Saccharomyces cerevisiae S288C: one gene and its partners. Changing the gene in region 3 together with the main gene of any one other region gives a genetic interaction. Each region holds a gene or a part of one and is shown on either strand. Other genes may lie near its edges. The genes, in order: POL32, BMH1, DUN1 and VID22.

Region 1 (3,560 bases), on a different chromosome or scaffold from region 3:
CATAATATACACGCCCCAAACATATATCGTTTATATAAGTACTGTTTCCTCGCATTAAGCGGGAAAGCCATGTATCTCTTGTAATTAGTTTGATCCTGTTCTATACCCAAATGTACTCCTCAAAATTATTACATTTTATTATGCCTTTTTCTTAGATGGGCTTTCACTCCACTTTACGAAAAACTGAGAAAAAAAGAGTAGGAGAAAAACTAGAAAAGGGGAATCACACACACACACACACACACACACACACACACACACACACGTCTAATATCGGCGCATATTTATCAAATCTAAAAGGCAAAGAATCTTAATACATAAAATCCCAGACGGTTATGATGGAATTCAAAGTGTCACCATTGACAAAGATTATTTCTCTGTCAGGATTCCTCGCATTGGGATTCCTTTTGGTCATACTAAGCTGCGCATTATTCCATAATTACTACCCACTATTCGATATTTTGATCTTTTTGCTTGCCCCAATACCAAACACAATTTTCAATGCAGGAAATAAATATCACACATCTGACTTCATGTCCGATTCATCAAACACTGGCCAAGATCTGGCTCACTTCCTTACAGGAATGCTGGTGACAAGCGGTATAGCACTCCCTGTTGTTTTCTATCATTGCCAATTGATTGGCCATTTGAGTTGTATCATGTGCATGATCGGTGGTCTTATCATATATTCTAGTATTGTTATTTTTAAATGGTTTTTCAAAAAAGATTTCAACGAAGATGATTCCCTTTTTGGTTAATATATAACAATTACTCATCCCCTCAACAGACTAAGCCAACTGGGTGCGTGAACCGTACATTGATATTATATAGTATGATACTCTACTCAAGGTGGGAAATCTGGCGTCGATTTCTCCTTTTTTTTAGAACTACTTAAATATAATAGATTACATAAAATTACTTTCTGTCTTTCTTCCATTTCAAGTTTTCAAACAAAAAATGCCAAGAAATTCGTGTCTTTAGCCTCTAGTTGACAGAATAATGTAGATAGGCAAAGTTGGCTGAATACATCCGTAATTTCGGGATAAGGATTGGCATTGAATCGCCACATGTCTATAATCTTATTTGAATCGATCTATGAGCGGAAACGTTGAGCAATGGTCGTACAACCATTCTGTGCCGCAATATACCTCATGAAAAGAGATGGGATTGCAAACCTTGAGAAATTAGTCTCTAGTAGGATAATGTATTGTACATTTGTTTGATTCCGCAGTTTTTATAGTGGCTTGAGATTTGTATTTCAACTAGATATGTTGAAAATATCCTCGTAGCGAATGTGGACATAGTGATAACAACAATGTCTTTGTCTTCTACACAAAGGTAAAGGTGTATAAAGCTTTACACACAATAAAGACGACACATAACAAATTATGCAACTGCGCTGCTATTGTAGGATAGCGTCCGATATTATCAATTCTTGCTTTTCAGCTTCTATTATATCTGATGACTAGTTCTCAATCTTTACGTCATCTTCCTATGGCATATTTTGTAATGTGCTAGTGACATGAATACTACTATGGATTATAGTAGGATTTCATTCTAACACAGCTCAGTGTGCAAGTTGTTTTTAATTTTACAATATGAATCTTTATTAAGTCTAAAATATTCATAAAAGTTAAGCGCCGTGGCGCAGTGGAAGCGCGCAGGGCTCATAACCCTGATGTCCTCGGATCGAAACCGAGCGGCGCTAAGCTTAATTTTTATATTTTTATCGTTTCACCTTATGAAAATTCTCGATCAGTATGCCTCAATATAGAACACTTCATTAATGGAAGTACCTTAATAAGGTTATACTAACGAATAGGTCTATTTTCCACTACGGTGTAACTTTCCGACGGAAGTAGTAAACGCGTATGAGTTAAACACGCGAAACTCTTAATTTTGAAAAGTACGCAGAAGTTCGTTACATCGCAATCAGATCAGCTCGAAATAATATTTCACATTAACTAACAACCAGAAATAGGCTTTAGTTAACTCAATCGGTAATTAATGGATCAAAAGGCGTCATATTTTATCAATGAGAAGCTCTTCACTGAGGTAAAGCCCGTCCTTTTTACGGATCTAATTCACCACTTGAAGATCGGCCCATCCATGGCCAAGAAATTAATGTTTGACTATTACAAACAGACCACCAATGCCAAATACAACTGCGTAGTGATATGCTGCTACAAAGATCAAACTATTAAAATTATTCATGATCTTTCCAACATTCCACAGCAAGATTCAATAATTGATTGTTTCATCTATGCCTTCAATCCCATGGACAGCTTCATACCATATTACGACATTATCGATCAAAAGGATTGTTTAACCATTAAAAATTCATACGAACTTAAAGTTTCTGAATCATCGAAAATTATAGAGAGGACTAAGACGTTAGAAGAGAAATCTAAACCTTTGGTAAGGCCTACAGCAAGATCAAAGACCACGCCAGAAGAAACAACCGGAAGGAAATCCAAATCTAAAGACATGGGTCTCAGGTCTACTGCACTGCTGGCTAAGATGAAAAAGGATAGAGATGACAAGGAAACCTCTAGACAAAATGAGTTACGTAAAAGGAAAGAGGAGAACTTGCAAAAAATAAATAAACAGAACCCTGAAAGAGAAGCTCAAATGAAAGAGTTAAATAATCTTTTTGTCGAAGATGACTTAGATACAGAGGAAGTAAATGGAGGGTCCAAGCCCAACTCACCTAAAGAAACTGACAGCAACGATAAGGACAAAAACAACGATGATTTAGAAGACTTGTTGGAAACGACAGCAGAAGATTCACTTATGGATGTACCTAAAATACAGCAAACAAAGCCTTCTGAAACAGAACATTCAAAGGAACCTAAATCTGAAGAAGAGCCCTCCTCTTTTATTGATGAGGATGGATATATTGTGACAAAGAGACCCGCAACTTCAACACCACCACGCAAGCCATCACCCGTGGTAAAAAGGGCATTGTCGTCTTCAAAAAAGCAAGAAACGCCGTCATCGAATAAAAGGTTAAAAAAGCAAGGAACATTGGAAAGCTTTTTCAAAAGAAAGGCAAAATAATCTTCTTTTTTTTCCAAACACTTTCCATTACTAATTGTGATGTAATGTATAATACAAATGTCAACTTACGTGATAGAAAAATAGATCAATATAAATATATATTGTTGTTTAAATTTACTTATTTTCGTCATATATCCTAATATACCATCCGAAGGACATTACTATACTGATTTACATGAACGCTTGACATAATTTGAAATTTAGTTTCTTTCTTAAATTTTTCAAAAGTGTTGCCATGCTACTAGGTAAGCTTTTATCTGCTTCAATAATGGTTTCATATAAGTTTGAACTTTTTTCATCAGCGTCATCCCATTTAGTTTCTATAACTTCAATGACTGTCGCCACTGAATCTTCATCCATTAGCTTCTTATCATCTAAAAGGAAAATTGGGTACAGGAATTTCGCCACAAGCAAAACCAAGTAATGTTTTGGTAAATAAGGGAATTCAATCAGCAAAAGCAATAGGCGCAGCGCTTGGCCCCAATCTTCTCTGTCCCTCA
Region 2 (5,801 bases), on a different chromosome or scaffold from region 3:
ATGGTACGAACATGACCTATCCTGGTGGGAGTGCGAAGAACAGCTCCTAACCCGCGGACCAATTGTGATGGTTGGCGTTTGAATGAAGCAGCAAGCATTGGCACAAATGTGGTTTCCTTTCTTATTGCTGTATCCAACTTTTGTGAAGATACAGGTGCGACAAACATAAAAAAGTTCTTGCCGTTAAGAAGCTAAAGTTGCTTCTCGCTATACCAGAGGGGATTATTGTCGGGAGTCATGATGCGACATTTACCCGGTTGAGTAAGGAAGGGGTGGAGGAATCAGAAGAGAGATAAATAAACATACACGTCAAAACAGTATAGTTCAAGTAACACATATAGACATGTACACGCGCGATTACGTGTGTACATGCACATGTTAATGTTATATACATATATAGATATAGATATATAATTGCAATAATGAACTACAAATTATTACACCCCCGTTCTTTTTTTTTTCTTTTTTTTAGTAATTTCTCTTTAGATTTATCAGAATACTTACTTTGGTGCTTCACCTTCGGCGGCAGCAGGTGGCTGCTGTTGCTGATGTTGTTGTTGTTGTTGTTGGTCTTCAGCTTGACCGGACTCGGACATGTCTGAAGTCCATAAGGTTAAATTGTCCCTTAGCAGTTGCATGATAAGTGTGCTATCTTTGTATGATTCTTCAGACAGAGTGTCCAACTCAGCAATAGCGTCGTCAAAAGCTTGCTTGGCCAAATGGCAGGCTTTGTCTGGAGAGTTTTGAATTTCATAATAGAAGACAGAGAAGTTAAGAGCCAAACCTAGACGGATTGGGTGAGTTGGGGGTAACTCTGTGGTGGCAATTTCAGAAGCGGTCTTGTATGCTTCTAAAGAGGCGTTTGTGGCCTTTTCTCTAGCATCGCCACTAGAAAATTCAGCCAAATAACGGTGGTAGTCACCCTTCATCTTATAGTAGAAAACCTTGGACTCGCCAGTGGTGGCTGATGGAATTAAGTGGGAGTCTAGCACGGACAAAATATCGTCGGAGATCTTAGTTAGTTCGGTCTCAATCTTCGAACGGTACGAACAAATCAACTCGACCTGGTGTTCGGACTTCTCCTTGGACTCCTCCTTTTGCTCAATAGAAGAAACAATTCTCCAAGAGGCACGACGAGCACCAATAACGTTCTTATAAGCAACAGACAACAAATTACGCTCTTCGACCGACAACTCTTGGCCAGAGGAGGCAACAGTCTTCATGTTTTCGACCATTTCTTCATAACGTTCGGCCTGTTCAGCCAACTTGGCTAGGTACACAGAATCTTCACGACTGGTTGACATTTTTATCTTTAGTTTATCTTTAACTTGCTTTTTCTTCTCACTTGCTTGCGCTCTCAATTTTGAAAAGTAGGAAAAACTAAGTTATTTTTGCAGAAACTACACGGTTTTATGTTACGGTTCGTCTCGTTTTCAGGTTTAAGGTCCAATAATAAAGAGTTTCCTTTTCCTTTTTCCTTTTTGCTGCGCGTGGAAAAGCGTGTCTTTTTCTCATACCCCTGTTTTTTTGTTTTTTTTTTTATTTTTTTTGCTTTTCTTTGCTTTTTGCCTCGTCCCCCCGCGCCCCGGCCACAAAGAGGAAGCTATTTGCCACCGAGCTTCCTCTTTTGACTCCAGGCCGGAATAAAGTAGCTTCCGCAAAACTTCGCTCCACTTTCCAAAGAGGAAGCCCGTCACGTGGCTGCGCTGTCTCCCCCCCCCCCCCCCCTTTTTCCCCTGTGTTTTCGATCTACCGATTTTCTGTTCTATAACTACGTCCATTATCTATCTATATCTATCTATCTCTGCATTGCGCAATCAATACATAAACAGTGGATTTTCTTGCCGCCGCCTAGCCGGCTAGTAAGCTGTGAGATCAGTGAATATGACCTCTTGTTCCTCGAGGTAGGTAATGTAGTCTTTCCATAGGGGGTCTCCTTTTCTTAAGACATTCTTGTTGCCCACCACAATTAGTCCGTGCTTGGCTCTTGTCAATGCCACGTTTAACCTTCTTTTGTCACGTAAAAAGCCGATTTTGTTTTCGGTGTTATTTCTGACACATGAAAATATGATGAAAGATTTTTCGTGGCCTTGAAAGGAGTCTACGGTCGCGACGTGTAGGCCGTTGATGATGTTAATCACATTGTTTTGTAGACTGCCGGCGGTTCCTTGAGAACCAGCCGCGTTAAATAGCTCAATTTCATCGTATTCTTGTTGCATAGAAATCTGTTTGGGGTTGATAACTACGTTTTTGGTCAAGATGTCAGACAGCAGATCACGCTGTGCAGAATAGGGCGTTATGACACCAATTTCTTCCAGCGGAACCTTCTTGTCCAACATTAGTATTTGGATAATCTTCACGATTTCTACACATTCGTGTTTGTTTTCGTACGTAAACCCGACTATGTCTCTTTGCGTGCTTCTCACTCTGCTCTCGGGCCCCAAATCGCACTGATAAAAAAACAACGGATGCTGCACGCCAGGCCATGCCTTTTGTTCGTCCGTGACACCGTCCTTCAATTCACCATTGTATATTTTCTTAATGGGGAATTCGCTAATTTTTGGGTGCATTCTGTACTGCGTATCCAGCATTAGTGGGTTTTTGTACGTGCCATTAGATAGGACTCTTTCGAATAGTGAGGTTTCCAGTTGAGGGATGTTGCTGAAACTTGACAATTGCTTTTCGTCCCCAACGAAGACAAAATTTCTTATACCTGGTAACGAAAGTGGGACTAGTGTTGAAGCCTCTGATGATTGTGTAGCCTCATCCATTATTACCACGGGACATTCTTTTATAACCTTCAATTCACGACCACCTGCAGCAATGTTTGTCGTGAAAATTATTTGCGATTGAGATACGACCTTGTTGGTGACACGGTTTTTCTCTTTATAAAACTTCGTGTCCTCTGATTTGGAGATCATTTCGCCCCTGCGGGTTTTGTTTGCCACGACTTGCATGTCTGGGGAAAGATTTTTGTATACAATATTGTGGAGACAAATTTCGCCCAATGGGTGGTCATCACTATACTGTTGTTCTTTCTTCTTTGACAAAATTCTTAAGATCTTTATCTGCGGTCTATTCTCCATAATCTTCTCGGCAATGTTATCAATAGCAATATTTGACGCGGCAACACACAATATTGGGAATGCGTGAAATCTTTCAATTACTTGGATGATTATCTCCTCTATTGTTGATGTTTTACCTGTACCAGGTGGGCCTTGTAGAATTGTGATACTGTTGTTTAGAACATGTTCCACTGCAGTCTTCTGAGATCGGTTCAACTTGTCACTGGAAAATTTTAGCCTGTTATCAAAATAAATCTCTTTAATAGGCTTTTGGCCTAGTAATAGGTCAATAAATTTTGGGTTTGTAATACGCGTCATGGCAAATAGAATTCTACTTGTCTGCGCAGAAGTTGGCAATAGCTTAAATTGAGATGAACCATTTTTCGTTGGCAAACTCAAATTATTCCACGAAAAAAGCTCCACTAACAACACGTATTTACCCCTTTGAATAGAAAGTTCTTTGATAAAAATATACCAAACTTTTTGTTCATCCTGAGTACAAAAGAAAAATGGTTGCCTTTCATTAAATGCCGGTCTACCGAGTGCAAGCAAATTTGCAGGTAGTAATTTCTCAAGTTCTGAATTATTATTCTTCTCAACGTTGATTATAAAAGCTGTATCTTTTTCATTGCGAGGCCATAGTATGTTGAAGTTTTGAACAAATTCGTTCTCTAATTTCTGTTCCAAAAAAAGGGCAAATGAGTAATCATTTAGGTATGTGTTCAAATCGGGGTATGATAAGGTTGACTTAAAGGTATTATACCTTGTGAGTGGTTCACCTTCTTCGTAAATAAGTTTCCCGTCCTTAGTTTTTCCATTATTTTTCTCTTGATTTTTTGTCTCCAACTTTTTTGGCATCGTTGTTGTTTTTGATTTTTCATTCAGCGTCGGCTTGCTAGCCTTCTTATTGCGGTTTCGCGATTTAGTAATTGAAGTTGTGTTCTCGTTTGGGCTAATACTAGGTTCTCTAGAAGATTCAGTATCAGATCCAATTGTCCACCTGCTAGTTCCCTTATTTGGCTGGTTATTTGATTTTTTGCCAAGTGCATTCTTTCTGCCAGCTGAATTTAGTTTGGCCTCTCGCGGATTCTTATTACCCGTTTTATCATTGCCCTTAGTCTTCTGGCCAGCATGGTCTTTTTTCCCTTTTTTCAAACCAGTAGTATTAGTACTGCCCGACCCGTTTCCATTCAAAGCTTTTGGTTGCGGTAATTGGTGCTTATCCACTGATTCGTTCTTGCCTTTCCCTCCAGAGTTTGTTGTAACGTGGCTATTGGTATTTTTTCTGTCCTCTGGTATAGGTTGGCTGTTACGGACATTATTTCTAATGTTTGTTTTCCTCTCTTTCTCTTTTCCTATCCCATTTCCACTATTCTTTTTGTGGTTTGCCTTATTTCCTTTCCCTTTGTTTCGATTTGATGGGCCAGGATTACTTCTACTAGTCTCTGATTTGCTTACTTTTGCTGCAACTACTGGATCGCTTTCCACCGCTTTGAAACCTTTGAAGTTTCTTAGATTGGAACTACTAGAGCTTTGAATGGTACTATTTTCTTTCTTGACTTCATAAGCGATTCTACTTATTTTGGCCTCGAAAGTTTCCTTTTTCTCCTTCTTAATCTTAGCACCCTTCCTGCCCTTCTTTCCTCTACCAACTCTTCTGCCGCCCTTTTTTCTAGGCTTTCTAGTGCTATTCTGTGTTTCATTCAGTCCCAAGTAGATGTATAGGAATCTTCCACTTTTTTCAGAAACAAAGTCTTTAGCTCTATTCGATTTGGGCAAGCACTTGTCACATAATACTTCTCCATTTCTATTTGCATTCAAGTTAGACTCTTCCCCACACTCATCACAACAACATTCCCTGACTTTCACGTACTTTTCCCAAAATTTCAATATAGAGCCGTTTTGTAATGAGTAGCTAGTTGATGGACGCTCCGTTTCTGAATATTCTTTCCGAAAACACGAATTACAAAGTAAAACCATGTCTTCACCCCCAAACCTGATGATTTGAAGTTGGTGTATATTTTTATCTTGACATTCCTCACAGCAAATATCTTCATCATTTGAAGTGTCGAATACAGTTTTATGCCTCGTACTTGAGAGATGCTTCATCATCTGCTCAGCATCATAAGCCTGGCTACACGTTCTGCACTGAAAATCCATCGTGTAGTACTTCTTAGTCTGCGGAACTCCTTATATTGTCACAACTTTGTTCGAATTCTTCAAATGATGAACTTACATTATACATCACTCTTGAGCATTTTAAGACTCTAAAATCGCATACAAATAGCATCCATTACCCGACTACACAGGAATAAAATACGGCGGAAATATAAAAAAAAAAAAATAGCGGCATCTTCAATATCTCTGTACTGATTACTAAATAGACGGTAACCAATTCACGTTGCCGATCGAGGTGTGACACATCACTGTCATGTTCATTTTACAATTCTTATTGAGTGAGAGCGCTTGTATAGAATTTCTATCTTTCTTTTAAGAGGTGCAGTTCAAGTAGGATTTAGTTGGAAATGATAACTTGTTTGAGTAAGCTTTGGTTCCGCTTGTTATGACCTGCTTCATTCTCATATAACCTCATTTGTTAAAAATCTAAAAAAGAATCAATTTCTTCGATTATAAGTGCGTACCAAAAAAGCGGCTAATTTTGGTATTTGTGATATCAAATATACATTGCAACCCAATTTTCATCATTGCGCTTGAGTTTACTATTTCAAGTCGGTG
Region 3 (3,766 bases):
CGAACGGTATGTTCGTTGTGAAATCCATTAAAATTAACACAGGCTCTCAAAAAGGAGGCTTGATGAGCTTTATTAAAAAAGTTGAGGCTTGTAAAAGTTGTAAAGGTCCGTTGAGGAAAGGTGAAGGCCCTCTTTGTTCAAACTGTCTAGCAAGGTCTGGAGAATTATACATAAAGGCATTATACGATGTCAGAGATTTAGAGGAAAAATACTCAAGATTATGGACACAATGCCAAAGGTGCGCTGGTAACTTACATAGTGAAGTTTTGTGTTCAAATAAGAACTGTGACATTTTTTATATGCGGGTTAAGGTTAAAAAAGAGCTGCAGGAGAAAGTAGAACAATTAAGCAAATGGTAAAAAACGATAGGGTGGCACATCATATTAGGATTAAGAAAGGCTAACAACTTTTTGCATGTTGGTGGATATATATGTATATATAAATAGATACTTGGAAAAATCCAGATTCAAACAATGTTTTTGAAATAATGCTTCTCATGTTTAGAGGCAAGATAATTCTGAGTATGTTTTGGGTATTTTATTGTCAGTAATTTGTAAACGCTGCAATTCTAATGAGACCGAGCTTTGTTGCTGTATGTCATTGAACCAAGGGTGGTTCAAAGCTTCATCTATATTGTACCTTTCATCAGGATTTAGGACCAAAAGATTGGATATTAAATGTAGTACTGAGTCATCGATTTTATCCCAGTACGGAGAGTAAAACGCATACTTAGCTTGTAAGATCTGTTCCTTCAATGAAGGTGGCCCCAATTGATCACTGAATGGAGGAAAACCACATAAACAGACATATAATATGACACCAGCACTCCAAAGATCTACTTTTGATGTGTATCCTTTCTTTGTGAGGACTTCGGGCGCTACATAAGAAGGCGTACCACAAAGTGTGTTTGTGAATTGCATTTCTCCTGTAAATTTTGCTAGGCCAAAATCCGCTATTTTAACTTGAATATCAATTTCATCTTCATCCCATGGGCCAAGTTGGACTTGACTTGGATTTTCGCGCCTTGTTATATTTAATAAGATATTTTCTGGCTTGATGTCTCTGTGAATGATGTTTTGCTCATGCAGATACTTCAATCCGGTAAGTAACTGTTTGAATAGAGCTTTGGATTCATCCTGTCTCAAACATGTTTTTCTGACGATTCTTTCAAATAGTTCGCCATCGTCGATCTTTTCCAGTACCAAATATTTTTGAATCTGAGATTTGCTGATTGGCTCTACAAAACTATCTAGTAAGTTGACAATGTTTGGATGTTGCACTCTCATTAGGATGTTAGTTTCCTCCCTAAATTGTTTATTCTTTTTTTGGTCGTCATTTTGCTGAGCGTGGAATATTTTCACAGCTACTTGCTGACCAGTTTTTTTGTTTTTGGCTTCTTTCACCAGGGCGTAGTGCCCTGCACCTAATTCTTTACCTAATAAATATTTATCAAAGAACGACACAGGCCTTGTCTTATTCAGTTTTCTAATTGCGGCACTCGTTGTAGCATTTTGGCTACTTGTAGCACTTATTTGCGGTTTCTTGAAAACTTCGTCGTCGTTCTTATATGAACGACTTTCTGAACTTACCTTTTCATCGTCATTTTCGATGTCAGTAGAAGATGAAGATGCGTACTTGAACAAAAAGGAGCAACTTTTGCCAAAGACAATTCTGTCACCATTCTTAAGGATGTAGTCTTTCTTCACCAAACGATTACCATTAATAAAAGTTCCGTTTCTGCTCTTATCGATAACATTAATCAAATTTCTTTGGAAATTATCCACATCCATTTGCAGTAGATGAAACTCAGCATGGAAAGTCGAGATGTCAGGCTCACTCAATATAACGTCGCACGACCTACTTCTACCGATTGTAGTAACGTTTCTATTTGTTATTTCCACTTTTTGCTCCTTTCCGGGTATTAAGTTCACCAGATGGCCCAGACAAGTGTATTCTGAGCTGGGCTTATTACTTCGTTGCTGTCTTTTGAATGAAGAGTCAGTTACATCACCAGAGTGCTCTCTTTTCGTGGACAAACTCATCTTCACTATAATTGCCTTTTTTACTGTATGTTAAGCCCCTTTACTTGTTACTCTCGACTATAAAGGGTTCTCATTTCCTCCTTTTTCAACAATATCTAATAATTTTCCAAAATCATTTGAAAAATACCATGGAAATAAAATGGAAAAAAGTAAACAAACGCGTCGCGTCACGTAATTTTTTTCTTTTCACACACATACCATCGTATTACTATTTTTTCTATGGTTATATGTCGTATGTATCTATTTATGGTATTCAGGGGCTTCTATTCCTTATCTTCTAACTCATAAATGACTTTGCCATCAGTAATAGGGTTATATTCTTTGTTTAGGAACTGTGAGAACTTTGTTAAGTTATTTAAGCCTCTGATTTCTCCAGCACATAATGGCATTTTAACGACATGGAAATCTTCGTACAATTCGTCGATTTGGTCCAAGTACTTCTTTTGCATCTTCCATCTTGCCTGACATCTCTTACAGTTGTGCTCTTGATCGTTTTCAGCAAATAATAATTGGTTGACAATGATGGAATTAACGTCCATATCGTAGGAAATCAATTCCTGAATTAGTCTTTCAGTTTCATATAAGGATAAGAATTCACTGATACAAACGCAAACAAAAGTCGTTAGGTCAGGATCCGTGAATTGTTGTCTGATGGTCTCGACATTAGCCTTTAACTCGTTCAATTTTCCAGAGATATCGACATTACCTGCGCCCATAAAAGAGTTTAGCATTGGGCCCAATTTGTTGGTAATTTCACCGAACTTTTCCAAAAGCTTGGATAAAGTATTTGGTAGTTGTAGAAATCTTAATGTGTGGCCAGTTGGAGCAGTGTCAAAAATAACAGTATCGAAGGTTTCACCTTCGCCCTGTTCTTGCCTTTTAATGTGCTTCATGACTTCCATGAAGGATAAAGCTTCGTCGATACCAGGGATGGAACCGGTCAAATCAGCAAGAGCACCACCTTGAAGCAAGCTTCCTAGATCGTCACCTTGACCGTCACTTCCGTTATTGTTAGCGCGTGAAACTGCCATGTCGTTCATATCCTTCAAAGCAGCGGATGGATCGATTTCCATACATGATAGATTATTCATGCCTGTCACCTTTCTGGCGTCTTTACCAAATTTCTCACCGAATGCATCACTTAAGTTATGGGCAGGATCAGTAGAGATCAGTAGGAACTGTTTGTTTGGTTGACTCAAAGCCATTTGGATAGCAATGGAACATGATGAAGTAGTCTTACCAACACCACCTTTACCACCAACGAAAATCCACTTATGAGTGGTAGAGGTAATTAAAGAGTGCAAATTAGGTTCCACGGTTAAATCCATAATTACAATGTGATGATCTTCTTGTTCTTGTCGTACGTTTTCCTAAACGCTGCGTTGGCTTCCCTCAACTTGTTTGAAGTTGCCACCGTTTTATCCATTTTCGCTTTTGAAAAAAAAAAAATGGTTGAGAATCCCCAGCACTATTAATTAGTACTATTGTTACGAAGATCTTGTGATAAAAAAGGGATGTAATAATTTGCATTGAACCAACCTGAATTGAGCAAGTTTATCATATAGTTACAATGTCTGAACAGGAGTCTGATGAAGTTAAGCGTATGAAACAATTGGAAGAGGCTAGAAAGAGAGTAGAAGAATTGAAGAAAAAGAAAAATAAAAAGAATAAAGGTAAGAAGAATAAAAATAGCAGTGCCACAGGCTCTATAGGATCTGAAACTC
Region 4 (7,766 bases), on a different chromosome or scaffold from region 3:
ATGAATTCGCTATCTTGCATAAACATCACGGGATTAATCGTATTTCTAGAGTTACTGTATGACTCTCCCATGGATGCGTTAAGGAGGTGCCAGGTTGATAATTTCAACTTTCAATTACGAGGAATAGTAATCGACAATTTGTCTTTCTTGAATTTTGAAAGCGACAAAAACTATGATGTAATAAATTTATCGAAATTTGAAAAACTGTTTAAGATTCTAAGGAAACTAAGAGAATTTTTGGGCTGCTGGATCATCACCAAAAGTTTTCCCACAGACTTCTATAATGGTATCGAAAACACCTTAGTTGATAAGTGGTCAATCAAGAGGAAAAGCGGCGTTACACTGTACCCCACAAAACTACCTGATTCATACATGAAGGGAATGGATCTGATAATCTACAGAGAAGTTGTTGACGGCAGGCCACAGTACAGAAGGATAGCCGCACTTGAAGAATGATAAGAGAAGGAAAAAAAACATTAAAAACTCAGATACATAAATTAAATATCTACTAGTACTAATAAAAACAGGGGAAAAGTCGTTATGCTGCCGGGAATCAATGGTATTTATAGCCGCATTGTTTACCTACGTGTTCGTTGAGCCAAACGTCAACGTTCTCGAACTTCAGGCCGCAATGCTTACATCTACCAGGAACAACATTTCTATCCTTTTTCTTCGTGCCTGGCGGGTATTCAAAATGCAAAGCCTTTAAATGGTTTTTGAAGGTGTCGCAACGTGAGAACACCCCCGTCTGGTGACAATTGGAAGTCTCAAAATTTAAAGGTTTCAGTTTATACGGGTACATATCCATGTCCAATTGTATTAAGGTGGAGTTGAATGGGCACTTGAATGTGCCCTTGATTTGATGCAACGATTTCAATTGTGCATAATCTGTGACAGAATTCATCGGTGTCATTTTTTCATGGGTATCATCATCATTGGGAGAAACGGATCCTCCCTTACCATCATTATGGTTCGAAAGTACTCCCGATTGGGACAGTATCTCATCCTTCCAATGTCTTTTCTTATGCCTCAATAAGTCATTGTTCCTGGCGAACCCGCGGTGGCAGATGGGACACTTGTGAGGCCGATCCTCTGGCGTCAAGTGCGTTGCCTTGTGCGTGGTCAGATTGGCATAAAAATTACGACAAATTGGACATTGCTTCTTTTTCCTTGGCTTATTGATTTTGGTGCTATGGGGGGTACTCACCCCGGCACCGCCAACAGATGAAGGACCAGCCACTTTTAAAATTGGTGAAATGGAACGTGAAGGTGATGCAGATGAAGAAGTTTCCGATGCAGAAGCGGAACCTTCCGTAGGCTGCTGCACGGAGGGAAGGAAGCTCGAGCTGGAGTTCGACCGGGACACATCATTGGAGTGCGGAAGCAACTGATAGCTCAGCATCGACGATGATGCGCCCGCACTGCCACTGCCGTTACTAATGTTCATATTAGGCAGTGTCGGATGTGTCGAGGCGGACGAAGCCTCGCCATTATATTGTCTCTCGGCTGCCTTGATAAGGTTGTCAAATGACGAGATGGGAGGCAACGTGATGTGGTTCATAGCACTATTGTTTGCATTACTCATCGCTCGCTGCACATGCCACACAAAAAACACCCACCCTGATTTCTCGAAACCAACTTTTTGTCACCAACATGCAGCGCTTACCAACAGTCTGTCTTCTTTATACCGTTGCTTTGTTCCAGATGGTACTGCCATGCTTCCAACGGCTACAAAAAAAACACCGCAACGGCGAAAAAATGGCGCAATTATTCACCGTGTAGTCATTTACCACGGCCGGGAAAGCGCGAATGGGATCAGCAAACAATAAACAACACATAACATGAACCATCAAGAGATGGGAAAGAGAGAGTTTGCTGGCAGCATCCACAGGATAAACAAGCACGAGAGCACATATGAGAGCGATGGACACACAGGTACAGAGTGCTGAAAGAGGATTGGTGTTGCCTCCCATGAATTCAACTGTATCGTCGGCGACGGCGGCTACGACGGCCACAAATACGGATACAGATACAGATGGAGATAGAGATGAGGAAAGGGAGTCGTTAGCAGAGGATGGTAGCGAATGGGTGCCCGCATATATGCTTACCAGAGACAGGTCACGCTACTTGGGCCATTTTCTGGGTGTAGACAAGATGCTGGAGGCAGTAAAATGCAAGTACTGCGGTGTGATAATAAGACGGCAAGGAAACAGCATAAGCATGGCGGAAGCCTCGCAAACTCATTTGTGGAGCACGCATAAGATAGACCCGAATGCCAATTACTATAGCGGATGGACGGGCGTAGAAGCAGGTTCTACTTTTATGGTCAGACCACCTTTGAAGAACCATCAAGGCGGTAGCGCCACAACGAACAGCATTGCTAACCTGCTGGAAATAGACGAGGACTTTTTGAAGAGAACTAGGGAAAAAGAAATGGCCTTGCCTCTTGTGCAGTCGCTTGCGATCATAATTGCATCAGAAAACTTGCCTCTGTCGTTCGTAGACAACACTGCCGTACGCCTTTTGATCAATCAGAACGCCAACTCACTAAGCTTCATTGACCATGACTTAATTCTGAATGCTATCAGGTCCATCGCATATAATCTCGATAGAATCATTCAAAGGACAGCTTTGCGAAACAATTCCGATTTGTCGTTGATTATCGACAAAAACTACTTACTAATGGACCCAACCGATAGATCTAATCAGTTATCAAACAGGTTGAAGAACCAATTATTTGAAATGCAAAAAATCAATTTTTTCTCTCTAAGCCACTCCGTTTGGAATAACACGATATCTATATTGAGTATTCAGTACTATGATGATTTTCATTCCCAAGTAAAGACTTTACCCCTTATCATCCAAAACTTACATGAATATAACAATGACCCCAAACTATCTATTCCAGCTCAACTGCTCAAAATCTCACAAGAATTACCTGGTTTACAAAATACTGTGATTTCTATCACTCTACCAAGATCTCAAATAGTAGATCTACTAAACGTAATGGATAGCCAACCCTTTTTCCCGAATACGTATACGAATGCTAAAAACTATTATCACAATTGCATTATTTCCATAATAAATTCTGCGATATTGCCATTGTTCGGTACGCCTAAATCCGCCGATATTACGCATCCGAGACAATCATCATTCTCCAAAGAACCTTTGACTTTATTGGACTCTCTAATTGATTTGTCAAATATAGATATTTCGAATTCCATTTTTTCCAGAATCAATTCTTTTTTGGATGATTTACAATCTAATTCGTGGCAGTTAGATAAATTCCGTTCATTGTGTGAAAAATTTGGCTTCGAATTCGTTTGTTCGAAATTCGATTTATCCCGTTACTCTACCGCCACCGTTTCACTGCAAACTTTTTTGAACCTTCGTCCCATAATAGAAGAATATCAATCTTCTATCCAAATTGAAAAATTCAACGAAATCGACTTTCAAATAATAGACTATTTATTAATTACTTTGAATTCCATCAATAGAATACTAAAGTTCTTTACTTCTTCCAAAAGCTTAAACTTTACCTATGTTTTGTTCGCCATAATGTCTATTGAAAAGCATCTGTTGTCCACCTTGGGCAGCCTACAATTTCAACGGTTAATTGCACCATTTGAAACATTTTTGTCTAAAATTCAAGAATTCAAAACCATTTTATTTTCAGACGATATGAACCTTTTAGCAATGTTCTTGTGTCCTGCGATTTTATTCGAAAGAGAAGTCCTGGAATATTCTTTTCATACCATTTCACTTTCTGAAATAGTCGACAAACTTTCTACATCAATTTTCAGTTTATTGAAAAGGTTTTTGAATTTACACACAATAGGCAACGTTAACAACAGTCATAATACTTCCAATCATAGCAACATGAACATTCACACTGATAATCAGACGAACAACATCAACAATAGAAGCGGCAACAACAGCGACAATAATGATAACGAACATGATAACGACAACGACAACCACTCGAATTCAAATACGCCCGCATCAAGAATAGATATAGATCCTACTGGTGGAGAAAATTCTGTATTACCGGAACAACAACCACAGAATAGCAATAATAACCTATCATTTGGTTCTCTTAGCGATACCCATCATTTATCGGACTCTACCATATCAAAGGAAATAGATAGTATCTTTTTACAAATCATTCAAGAGGACTTATATGATTACTTGAGTACAGTAAACTCCATCGTACCCATATCTTACAGGTCGTATTGTGAACAAAGCAATTTCATTAGAGATAGTGGCCGTTTCAAGAAGAGAATAATAACAGAGGACTCTATTATTGGAGAGCTAGAACAACCAATGAACTTCATTGAAGAGTTACTTGATATCCATGTTCCTGTGTGTAACGCGTTCTGGTCCCAATACTTAGATAATGATGCTGGGCCGATAATTAGAATTTTGTTCAAGATAATGCAATGTCAGTCATCTTCCTCCATTAGGGGAGAGTACTCATTTTTAAATGACTTCATTCCCAGAGTACATCCCGATTTAACTCAAGAGATTATTAAAATTAAATTATTCAATGATCAATTCGTGGCAAGTAAAGTGGATTACGACTTGGACACTTTACAAACTGCAAGTCAGTATCTTCCATAGGACATACAAAGGAACAAAGTCTGTTTGTTTTAAATTTTAGCTGCTATATAATTTTATTTTATAATTGTAATGTATCACTACTCCTCACTGTAAGCGTGCAATTCTTTGGGCAGCTAAGGAAATGATTAATCAAAATGGGAAAAACACCAAGCCAATAATCTATCATTTCTATAATAATGATTTCATTTATCGTACATATTTAATATAAAGAAAATGTTAACATTTAATTTTTTTCTTTTTCATTCGCTGTCAAAAATTCTCGCTTCCTATTTAAGCTTTCCTGGAAGAGACCTTGGTGTTAGAGGTCTTGACACCAGTAGAAGAACCGGATGCAACGGAGCCGGAAACTTCAGATTCCTTCTTGACTGTCTTTTTACCACCTTTCTTGTAAGATTGGATGTAGAAGGAAATAAACAAAAGCAAATAAGATGTTAGAATCAAATACCCATAAGCAGCAGCAGCCTGAGTACCATAACAAGTACCCTTGTTTGGTAAAATACCGTCCAAGTATTTGTGAGCATAGAATGTATAGGTAGCAAAGTAAACAAATACCAAGTCAATCAAAAATTGAATAATTTGGAATCTAGTGACCCATTGCTTCCACCAAACTCTAATACCACATGAACTCAAGAAGTAGTACCAGTACATGATAACGTGAACACCCAAGTTTAGTAGGATAACTACCCATTCAACAGAAGTACGACCAATTAATTGAGTGTAGCACAACAAAGCGGTGGCACCGTGATGGTAAGTGTGCAAAAACAATAACTTCTTTCTTCTCAAAACTAAAAACACAGTGTCAATCAATTCTACGAATTTGGTCAAATAGTTCAAATAGTAAAGAGTAACTAATTTTGGTGCGAAGGCTTCCTTAGAGCAGATAGACCAGAATAGACCGTTGTGATAAACCATAGGAACCAACTGTTCTAACATCAGCAACCATAAAACTAGAGAAATAGAAGTCAAAAACAAGTTGTGTATCTCGAAAAGCAATTTAAACTTTAATGGAGAGGCGTTCAAGGCGCGTAAGATAGCTTGGCCACCAAAGATAATAATGTAATAAACGATAATAATACTAACAGCATGATACCCGTTAGCCAAGAAAGTCTTATTGTGAATAAACTCGAATTGCTCAGCTGGATAGCCACTAAAGTATTCAAACACTTTGGAGAAAATTGGCCATAATTCAATACCGAATGGGTTCTCAATGGAAGGAACATGAACCTTCAAGAAACATGAAGAAGAAGAGTTCAAAGACTGGAACTGGTCGGCAACTGCTGCTATAACAGTAGATGTGGTAGTGTTCATGACTGTTTATGTTTCGTAAACAAACGGAAAAAAGCCGAATAAATAAACTAGAAGTAAGCTTGAAGCGAGTGAAGAGCTGTCAAAAACCAATCAATGACCAAATAAAAAGACACCAGATATGCGGAAAATACACAGTACCTAACTGGGGTAATAAGTTAAATAAAACTTCAAACAAGGCTAAACAACAAACAGAAGACTCCAGATAAATATTTTATACAATTATTTACTAAGAACCTGTGAAAAAAAAAAAAGACAAGCCAAATGCGTAAGCCAACCTTTTGTTTATTCACAGTCTGGAAAATTTTCTGAAAATTTTTCACTTTGTGGACGGAATAAAAACTTCGAAGCTTTGGGAAGAAAAATTTCGCGTTTTTTTTTCTCGCGTCATCAATCATTTGCATACAAATCCCTCTGACGGTGAATTATCATTATTATATTATAAAATTATTATTTATGTCGTTTTCCACTATTGTCATCAATGTTTATTATTCATAATTCTGCTCCTTTTACAACTTTAGTTATGCTTTTTATTCTAAAGAAAATAAGGAAAGTCTATATACGTTGCTATCTTAACCCCAGAAATCTAACGACGCAACTGTATCATACCCGCGATAATCCTCGTAGCAGTACAGGATTTCTTGAGTACTTGTTTGTAGAAGTCGAATCTTATCAGCAAGGACGCAACGAATTAATTCGCCAGTTTCAATCTTTCTGATCTCAATGAAGTTGCTGTCGAATGCCAAGATGTACGGGTACCAAATTGCAAATTTTTGGGGCTCTCCCTCCCAATGAATAATATGCGATTCTTTCTTTCTCCAACCCTGATTATTGACAAAGAAGGCAAATTCTGTGTAACACAGCAAAAACATATTTCCCACACGATAGATTGCCATTGGTTTCAAAGTATCCCTTAGTGCAAACTCTAATGATGTATCGGCCGGATCTAACAAGGATTCATGAGCATTCTGTGAAATGCTAACGATCTGAAAACCCTTTTTACAGCCAATGCATAGGTTGGCCTTGAGAAATGAAATAGAGACAGGTTCAGAATCAAAAATAACCTCGGTGATTTTTTTCTTGAGACTTTTTTTGTTACCGCTACCACTACCATTTTTTTCGGCCAATAATGGATGTTCATGCTCGAAGTACTTAATTGAATGCGATGAACTGTGTGCAGTCACGATTAATCTCTTACCATTGCAATCTCCTTCTGCGAAGAAACTCACATGATTGATCAGTTCCTTGTGATGCTTTTTGAAGAAAGATGTCCCATTACCTTCTGCTTCGATTAATGACAGCGGACAACTGTATAATTTTTTATCAATTAAAAGTATGATTGATTTGAATTCTTCTAATACAGCAATTTGAGTGATATTATTTCTTTGTACTAGTTGGATTGGAGTTGAAAAAAAAGCAGAGCTTTTATGTCTATGATCTTTATTCTGCTGTCTTTTAATGTTGCTCATATACAATCCAGAGTTCGTTGCAATCAGAAGTTTTCTACCCCCATCACAGGAAGTAACACTGTTAATTTTGTTGGTGTAATCGAAGAACCTATCGCTCATTTTCGTTACATTGAACATCTCCGTTTTGCTTATAATAGCTGCTTGTCCTTGCTTTATTTTTTCCAAAAGCGTTTGCAATCCAGCGTATTGCGCAGCATATAATGTAACTTGATATCTCTGCTTGGCACCGTAGTATAAGAAAGTTATTGCGTTTTTAGGATTACTCGTGTTGTATTCTGGTTGAATTACAGTTCCTGAACAATCTGGGTGGTCTCCAATATATTTCCTCAACGCAGGCATATCTTCACCTGGACATGCAAATAACAATGGCAA

What was found.
Region 1: mutations in DUN1 (region 3) and POL32 together harm fitness more than expected from each alone (negative genetic interaction), as found in Saccharomyces cerevisiae (5 studies listed by BioGRID, with this or other methods).
Region 2: mutations in DUN1 (region 3) and BMH1 together harm fitness more than expected from each alone (negative genetic interaction), as found in Saccharomyces cerevisiae (7 studies listed by BioGRID, with this or other methods).
Region 4: mutations in DUN1 (region 3) and VID22 together harm fitness more than expected from each alone (negative genetic interaction), as found in Saccharomyces cerevisiae (5 studies listed by BioGRID, with this or other methods).

The regions. Positions count from the first base shown.
Region 1 is NC_001142.9:515,961-519,520, reverse strand, and holds POL32 (DNA polymerase delta subunit POL32), read left to right. Parts: upstream 1-2,007; coding exon 2,008-3,060; downstream 3,061-3,560. Other genes in the region: VPS55 (Vps55p), read left to right, coding at 336-758; NUP85 (Nup85p), read right to left, coding at 3,232-3,560. UniProt on the Saccharomyces cerevisiae protein: DNA polymerase delta (DNA polymerase III) participates in chromosomal DNA replication.
Region 2 is NC_001137.3:541,114-546,914, reverse strand, and holds BMH1 (14-3-3 family protein BMH1), read right to left. Parts: upstream 1,305-5,801; coding exon 501-1,304; downstream 1-500. Other genes in the region: PDA1 (pyruvate dehydrogenase (acetyl-transferring) subunit E1 alpha), read right to left, coding at 1-98; ECM32 (RNA helicase), read right to left, coding at 1,860-5,225. UniProt on the Saccharomyces cerevisiae protein: Involved in growth regulation.
Region 3 is NC_001136.10:279,807-283,572, forward strand, and holds DUN1 (serine/threonine protein kinase DUN1), read right to left. Parts: upstream 2,043-3,766; coding exon 501-2,042; downstream 1-500. Other genes in the region: DNA-directed DNA polymerase delta POL3, read left to right, coding at 1-359; guanine nucleotide exchange factor GET3, read right to left, coding at 2,306-3,370; BUG1 (Bug1p), read left to right, coding at 3,613-3,766. UniProt on the Saccharomyces cerevisiae protein: Transducer of the DNA damage signal. Phosphorylates SML1 on serine residues. Cooperates with the PAN deadenylation complex in the regulation of RAD5 mRNA levels and cell survival in response to replicational stress.
Region 4 is NC_001144.5:865,516-873,281, reverse strand, and holds VID22 (Vid22p), read left to right. Parts: upstream 1-1,914; coding exon 1,915-4,620; downstream 4,621-7,766. Other genes in the region: PSY3 (Psy3p), read left to right, coding at 1-456; STP3 (Stp3p), read right to left, coding at 554-1,585; fatty acid elongase ELO3, read right to left, coding at 4,891-5,928; Rho family guanine nucleotide exchange factor ROM2, read right to left, coding at 6,498-7,766. UniProt on the Saccharomyces cerevisiae protein: Has a role in the negative regulation of gluconeogenesis. Imports fructose-1,6-bisphosphatase (FBPase) into the intermediate vacuole import and degradation (Vid) vesicles. This is an indirect role and requires cyclophilin A.